2 linked regions of the Ovis aries genome follow. The protein of the gene in region 1 purifies or fractionates together with the protein of each later gene. This does not show direct contact. Links are inferred from orthologs where the notes say so. Each region holds a gene or a part of one and is shown in the gene's direction. Other genes may lie near its edges. The genes, in order: TSPYL1 and DDX24.

What was found.
Region 2: the proteins of TSPYL1 (region 1) and DDX24 purify together in Homo sapiens (affinity purification with mass spectrometry; 3 studies listed by BioGRID and IntAct, counting the BioPlex papers as one, with this or other methods). This does not show direct contact. The link is inferred for Ovis aries from reciprocal best matches to the Homo sapiens genes TSPYL1 and DDX24.

What each region holds. Positions count from the first base shown.
Region 1 is NC_056061.1:21,654,570-21,659,108, forward strand, and holds the start of TSPYL1 (testis-specific Y-encoded-like protein 1), read left to right. Parts: upstream 1-1,529; 5' UTR 1,530-1,635; coding exon 1,636-2,934; 3' UTR 2,935-4,539.
Region 2 is NC_056071.1:56,449,748-56,453,557, reverse strand, and holds part of DDX24 (ATP-dependent RNA helicase DDX24), read left to right. Parts: intron 1-560; coding exon 561-714; intron 715-1,031; coding exon 1,032-1,547; intron 1,548-2,473; coding exon 2,474-2,549; intron 2,550-3,810. UniProt on the Homo sapiens protein: ATP-dependent RNA helicase that plays a role in various aspects of RNA metabolism including pre-mRNA splicing and is thereby involved in different biological processes such as cell cycle regulation or innate immunity.

The sequences.
Region 1 (4,539 bases):
ACTTTCTCACCTCTGCTCTGGTCATCAGTTTCACACTGACACTCCCATTTCTTTTTACTGTAATTAAACAGGGTCCACCCACTGGGATAGCCCAGCACAATCTTTCAATTTCCTGATGCTTAACTGAAACATACCTACGGAGTCCTTTTGCCAGGTAAGATAAGATACAGGTTATGAAGGTTAGGACATGGACATTTTAGGGGGCCATTATTCAGTGTACTATAACAGAAAAAAAACAACCACCCCAAAACATTTGCCTCTTTCACATCTTGAGGTAACTAACCAGTTTTAAAACTGGTATCCAGCCGTTTGTGTTCTACTCAAGGCCATCTTGGTTATCCATTTTAACTGGCTTTTCTTCATAAAAATGGAGGTGGATGGCCCCTCTACCAGTAATTCTCCGAGGTCCCCTAGCCCTCTAACACCAGTTTTCCTCACAAGTCAACAAACTAAAACAACCAAAGACACTGACATCCCTTTTGAAAGAACTCTACAAGCTAATTACCATGAACAGATACTTCACCAGAGCCAACTTTTACTACCTTCTTTCAGAACTAAACTTGTTATTAGATTAATAAATCGATGGGGCTGGAAATAGCTTTTCTATTTCCTGCAGTGCTGGGCCGCGGAGAGAGATTCAGCAATTGATTCTGACTTAATTCCTGCAAACATCAAGCAAGCAAGCTCTTCTTTGATAGATTATCAAGGTAAGGCTAGCAAGGAACAATATGCATGAATGACTTTTGTGGTAAAAAGTCGTTCAGTAGCTTTTTCTCCCAGCGATGTTACAGTCCAGAATATTTTCACTACCCGAGAAAAGGGAAACATTTTGCTATTAATTTAGTTAAAAAATAAAGAGAATTTTGCTCCTGCCCATCATGGAGTAACAGGGAGATTTACCCTCTTGCCTACTGCTACTGCTGCTAAGTCGCTTCAGTCGTGTCCGACTCTCTGCGACCCCATAGATGGCAGCCCACCAGGCTCCCCCGTCCCTGGGATTCTCCAGGCAATAACATTGGAGTGGGTTGCCATTTCCTTCTCCAAAGCATGAAAGTGAAAAGTGAAAGTGAAGTCGCTTAGTCGTGTCCGACTCTTCGCGACCCCATGGGCTGCAGCCCAGCATGCTCCTCCATCCATGGGATTTTCCAGGCTAGAGTACTGGAGTGGGGTGCCATCGCCTTCTCCCCCTCTTGCCTACAAAACCATAAAAACATGTTTTCAGACAACAGAAAGCAGTGTAGTACTGGGATCCTTACAATTACCCCAGCGAACAATCTGGAGGTACTTCCAGATGCATAGCCAGGAAGGGAGGGGGGTGGGGGTCTCACTGCTTCAGCCTCTGATTGCGAGCCACATATTTACGTAAGTCAAATTACCAATCCACCGGATTAAATTCGTAAGAATAAAGCTAACACTCGTAAAATTAAAGTGAACACTCGGACCGTAGGAAGCCTGGTAAGACATCCCAGAAGCCGCGAGTTCTCGCGTCACATCGAGATCTACTGCCCTGACGTCATCCTCACGGAGTCACTCGCGAGATTGGAGAGTGGGTGGTACGAGCGAGCAGTTTTCGTCAAGCGGGGCTTCTGAGAGGAAAACAGACATTGGCCTTCGGTTTATCTGGGTACTGCCGACATGAGCTGCCCAGACCGGGGCGAGAGGACCCCTCTCCTTGAAACCCACAGCCTCACCCCATCCGACTGTGCCGCCGGAGCTCCGGACCCTCCCCGGTGCCTGAAAACAGAGGCGTCACAGGTGATGGCGGAGACGGGTGAGGGGTATTTCGAGGCCGTCGCGCTCCCGCCACCCCAGCTTCCAGAGGAGGAAGGCGCACCCCCAACTGCTCCCCTAGATCCAGGCTGTGCCGGTACGTTCCAGATCCGAGGCGGTGGGGATGGCGGTTACGTAGCGCCCGAAGCGGGGCTAGAGCCGGCTCCGCCTCCTACGGAGGGCCTGGAAACGGCGTCTGTGTCCCTGGCAACGGAGGATAGCCTGGGAAATGGCCGTCAGCCCGGAGAGCCGCAGGGCTTGAGTCGAGAGAAGCCGCTAGAAACTTGTGGCGCGGAGAAGTTGGGGTCTGACTTGATGGCGGAGGCGAAGGCTGAGGAAGTGAAGACTGAAGAGGGCCCTGTCTTCTCGGTCGCAGTGGATGAGGAGGTGGTGGGGAAGGAAGGAGCGAAGGAGGAGGAGGGAGTGGAGCAGGGAATGGAGGTGGAGGAGAGGCCAGTCGGTGAAGAAATAGAAATGGTGGAGAACAGAGTGGTGGAGGAGGCGGGGCATCGGCCCCTGCGTATGGATCTCCGCATGAACCCGCTGGAGGCCATCCAACTGGAACTGGACACTGTGAACGCTCAGGCTGACCGGGCCTTTCAACAACTAGAGCATAAATTCGGGCGGATGCGTCGACACTACCTGGAGCGGAGGAACTACATCATTCAGAATATCCCGGGCTTCTGGGTCACTGCCTTTCGGAACCACCCCCAGTTGTCTCCCATGATTAGAGGCCAAGATGCAGAGATGTTAAGATACATAACCAATTTGGAGGTGAAGGAGCTCAGACACCCGCGAACAGGCTGCAAGTTCAAGTTCTTCTTTCGGAGAAACCCATATTTTCGAAACAAGCTGATTGTCAAAGAATATGAGGTCAGAGCCTCTGGCAGAGTAGTGTCTCTTTCCACTCCAATCATATGGCGCCGGGGCCATGAACCCCAGTCCTTCATTCGCAGGAACCAAGAGGTCGTGTGCAATTTCTTCACCTGGTTTTCAGACCACAGCCTTCCAGAGTCTGACAGGATTGCTGAAATTATCAAAGAGGACCTGTGGCCAAATCCACTGCAGTACTACTTGCTGCGTGAAGGAGTCCGTAGAGCCAGACGTCGCCCAATAAGGGAGCCCGTGGAGATCCCCAGGCCCTTTGGATTCCAGTCTGGTTAAACTTTGCCGTTGGGAAGGTTCCTGCACAAGGTCCCTTTTTGCCTCTTAATGGACCTGTGCTTGGGCAACAGATACGGATATGTCTTCTAACCACCCCTCTCCCCCTCCCCCCCCCCCTTTTTTCTGACATTTCTGGAGCCTTTTTCCTCTGGACATTCAGTTCTCTCAGCCTCAAGATTGAGACAGTCATGGCCATGCTCCTTCATTTCCACATGGCCTTCGTGCTTTTCTGCATTAATATCACATGCTGCATGGCCCATGATTCATACCACTCCTAAATAAGCTTGTGATGTAAATTGTATAGTCTTTATCTGCACTACTTGGACCCTGTTTGTTCCCAGAGCCTCCGGTTTGACTCATATCTAGAGGTATTTGTCTAGGAGGCCATTCTACCCATCCTGATCTCTGCAGCACAGGCATATAGCCTGTAGATAACTGGGCGTTAATGACATCAAGGGAGAATTGCAGTGGGCCACTGGGCCTGTATGATTTATGTGACTCCATTGCTCTTGTTGCACCTCTGGTCACGTACTATTGCTGCCTGCTAATGGCTGTTCCCTTGACTGCTACCTACTGGATGGACGTCTGCTAGAACGTTGTCAGCCCCACTCTGGTTTCTGGTAAACAATCTCCAGGTTTCCTGCCAGCACTCAAAAGACCCTTCCATTTTCCCCAAAAGACTTCTCCTGTATTCCTCATCCCCTCCTCCAACCTCCCTTTCCTCCACTCCCATCATCCAGAACCCTAAAAACTGTCAGGCAAGTGGTTGAGGTGACAGGTTAGACTTCTCAGGGCAGGTTGGCCTAAAGATGGTGTCCATTCAAAGTACCAGGCTTTCTCAGTCTCTAGTGAATCACTCAAAAGCTGGGTACCTCTTTGTGCCTCCTTTTTCATCCTGAGCGTAATTAAGTGCCAGAGTGGCACCTTCTCCGTTGTGTCTGTCCTGTCTTATATGGTAAAGCTCATAAGCATATGCAAATCAGGTCTTTTAATTTGGCTCTCCATTATTTCAAGGAACAGGCTGTCTTGTTTAATAGATTGCCAGAGCTCTTATTTTCTTCTCTCTTCTGCATCTTCCACCCCCTTTAGCAACATCTAGAGGATTTAAAAGGAGACAGATTTAGATGAAAAGTGCTATCTAGGCCATAATTGATGGAAGAATTAAAGATACTGTGATGAGTGCCCAAAGCAAGAGAAACTGAGCAGATCACATATAGGCAAAAATGAGCCAGGTTAAAATTGGGCCTGAAATTAAGACAGAGTCTTCAAGGAGGTTGTCAGTGGTGATGGGAGAAGAGGTTCTTTTCCCAGAATTAACACGTGAGAATTGAAGGGGGTTAGAATGTTAAATACATTACCTAGAAAAGAGTTCTGTAAAAAGGGCAACTGAGTACTTTATCTTGTTTTCATTTGACTTAATTTATAAGGAAGGTTAGTACTGTGTGCTTTATTTCACTAGTATTTAGTAAAATCGTGTTATTTTCCTTGTTTCTGGTTACTGGGAAAATTGAGCTATACAGGCTTTATTTTGCTTTCAATTGAGAACATTTGGAAAAATGTGCTATATCTCTGATATAGACACAAATGAATATCTGTAGTGAATTT
Region 2 (3,810 bases), on another chromosome or scaffold:
CGATTCTTTACCAAGCTCTTGCTGTGTATGTGAGGCACTTGACTGAGCACTTCGCCTGCATGATCCTTTTTGTTCCTCCCACACTGGATACCTTGAGAAGTCCTCCACTGGAGAGGAGAAGAGAACACTAGGCATTAGAGGAGATTGAGATGAATCGAGATTGAGATGAATCTGCATTGAGGGGGACGGGCAGGAGTTCCCCCGGGAGAAGTGTCACAGCTGCTGGTTCCATCTCTCCCAGCACTGCGGTGTGCCACTGGTCTGCTTCTCCAGAGCCTCGGATGTCACCATGCCTGGGTTCAACTCCAATGCTACTGTTGTGGGTGAGGGGAAAGAGTAGAAAAAATGAGGTTGAGGGAGTAGGCCAGGCCTAGACCATAGCAGACCCGGTAAGCCCTCCAGTAACGGCATCAGCAGGCCAGGCCAGCTCTTAGCACTCCCCTGGAGAGGGGAGCTGTGCCGCTGACTGGCAGCCTTTGCTAATCTGGGGGCACTGGTGTTCACGGTGGAAGAAATAAGCAATCAGACTAACACTGTCCCTCGTGTTGTGTGAACCATAGGCATTAAAACCGCTATTCTGGTTGGTGGAATGTCCATGCAGAAACAGCAGAGGATGCTGAACCGCCAGCCGGAGATTGTGATCGCCACTCCAGGCCGGCTGTGGGAGCTAGTTAAAGAAAAGCACCCTCATTTGAGCAACCTTCGGCAGCTCAGGTGAGAGTGCCTCCCTTTTCCCCCACTCCCTGTTCTGAACTGGGCCTGAGGTGAGCTGGCACAGTGCATCCTCCCTGTCACAAAGTGCCATCGTGGGGTACTAAGCCTTGGTACTAGGTACCCTACTAGGTACTAGGGACTTGGCCTTTAGAAAACCAAGTATGCGTGCGGGAGGTTAGTTGAGGGCCCTGGTGGAGGTGGTGAAAGTGGTGTTTGTCTTGGGTTGGGCGGGGGCGGGGGCCACTGGTGGAGTATGCCGTGGTGGCTCCCCTCCCCTGCTGCTAACCTGGTGATCACGGGTCTGTCTGGATCTGTAGGTGCCTGGTGATCGATGAGGCTGACCGGATGGTTGAGAAAGGCCACTTTGCTGAGCTCTCACAGCTGCTAGAGATGCTCAGTGATTCCCAGTACAACCCAAAGAGACAGACTCTTGTTTTTTCCGCCACACTGACCCTGGTACATCAAGCTCCTGCCCGCATCCTTCACAAGAAGCATGCCAAGAAAATCGACAAAACTGCCAAACTTGACCTCCTCATGCAGAAGATCGGCATGAGGGGCAAGCCCAAGGTCATTGACCTCACAAGAAAGGAGGCTACGGTAGAGACGCTGACAGAGACCAAGATCCATTGTGAGACTGATGAGAAAGACTTGTATCTGTACTACTTCCTGATGCAGTATCCAGGCCGCACCTTAGTGTTTGCCAACAGTATCTCCTGCATCAAGCGCCTCTCCGGGCTCCTCAAAGTCCTGGATATCATGCCACTGACCCTGCATGCCTGCATGCACCAGAAGCAGAGGCTTAGAAACCTGGAGCAGTTCGCCCATCTGGAGGAGTAAGTCAGGCCTGTCCACAGACTGGCCATTGGGTCCAGGTTGCCAGGAGGGTGGGAAGCTCCCTTCTCTCTTGGGAGCCTTATTAATAGAAGGTAGTCCTCCAGTCTTTTTTTAAATTTTGCATAGCATGAGGCAGGTTCGCTCTCATCTAGTACATTTATTTTAAAAACATCCCTCAAGTGCTTTTGACTCTCCTCAAACTACACATACGTTATGAAACGTCATCCAGTACATATTACTGAGTGCTTGTTTTGAACCTGCTACTGTTCTAGGGCCTGGTAATAGAATAGTGCATAACACAAAGTCCCTGCTCACAGGGAGTTTACATCCATGTGGAGGGAAAAGTAAGTATATAGTTTGTCAAGTGGTGCTAAGAAGTAAAGTTACGTAGGGAGTTGAGCAGACTGTGGGTGTGTGGTCTGGGAGGCTTTTCTCATAAGGTGAGATTGGAGCAGAGTGTGGAAGAAAGTAAGGAAATGTGACTGTCTGAGGGAAACCATTCTGGCCTGAAGGGTGCTAAGCAAAGACTTGGCGGATTTGGCATGTTTGAGCAGAAGCAAGGATGTCTACCTGTGTGACTGAGGGAATTAAGTGGGAGGGTGATAGGAGACGAGGTCACGGACCTAGAATATTACCTTATTTAATTCACTTAAAGTAGTCTGTGTTATTGCAGAGTGTGGCTTTATTGATTGTGGCCAGTGAAACCCAGTTTGGATCCTGGCTCCACAGCCGAATAGGCATGTATGTATCTTGGGAGGTTAATATCTGTGAGCCTCAGTTTCTTCATCTCTCAAAGGGAGATACATAATAGTGTTATCTTGTAGAGTGTTAATAAGGGTTGCAGTATTTAGAGTACCCGATTGTGGTAAGGAGTTGATTAATGACAGCTGTTAGTTGTTATTAATAAGCTTTCTCTCTACCACAGTTGTGTGCTCCTGGCAACAGACGTGGCAGCTCGGGGCCTGGATATTCCAAAAGTCCAGCATGTCATCCATTACCAGGTAGGGGCATCGGGGAATTTGTGGGCATCTCCCAGCATTGAGCAGGGGATTTTTAAAGCAAAGGTTGAGGGAGAGAGCAAGGAGAATTGTTGGTCCCAAGGCCTCATGCAACAGAGAATACCACTGGTGTCTGGTCAACTAGCTGCTTCCACTTACTATGGTGAGATTTATTCTCCAAAACCTCTTGACATTGTCTGATGTCAGATAGCCCCTCTCTTTTTGACTTGGGCTGGCTACATAATACTGGCAGGTTAGAGTCTTAGTTTCTTCCATGAAATGGGCATAGTAAAGTTTAGCATGTAAAATGATTGCCCTGCTATAGAGAAAAGAGTGGTGGTTAAGTCCTGCAAGGTGAAATAGGTTATTATGTGCGAGGAGTTTAGAAAGCCAGGCGGCACTTCCTAAATGTTAGCTGCTGTTGATGCGGACATTAGTATTAGTGTGTGAACCTAGGGAAAATTAGCAGAGAGTGGTGGTTGGGAGCATGGGCTCTCGAACCTCACTTCCAGCCTTTGAATGCTTATTGGCTGCTGCTGAGTGGGTTAGCTTTTGGCATGTTACTGAGTGTCTTTGGTTTCAATGTCATTGTAAATTGGGAGTGGTGATGCTGCTACCTACTTCATGGGGTTACTCTGATTAAATGAGCTAATGCTGATGGATTACCTAGCATAGTATAAGTACTCAGTAACTGGTGTAATTATTCCTCCTTTTAAATCCTTGCTTTCTTTTTTTTCCTTTAAATCTTTCATGCTTTTAACAGTCTTTAAGGGTGCCAGTGCAGTTGAGCAAATCTTTATTCTTCCTCTCTTTGGGAGAGTCTGGGTCAGTCTATGAGAAATATCCAGATGAACAAAATACAGTTCCCAGCCCCTAAGAAATATCAAATCCACTAGAGGAGGTTAGATGCCTGCAGCCATAATTTTAAGGCAGAAGATACTAGAAAGTGGCAAAATAAAGTTGGACAAAGAGATAACTTCTGGTGTGGGAGGTTAGGTTGGAAAGTGCTTTCTAAAAGATGCTTGGCATTTAGGGATGGAGAGGATTCAGGCATGTAGAGGTAGGGAAGGAAGGAGGAGAGGTGTGGTAGTGGGCTGTTGCCGGGGAGTGAATAGAGGGGATGTGTACTCAAAGAGGAAGTGAAGGATGTTTCACTTCTGGCACCATCATCAACCATGGGTAACAGTGCTAAGAGCACTGAATTAAAGTTGCCCATTCTGGACCATTTTAGTTCACTCATTCCTGAAATGTCGATGTTTACTCT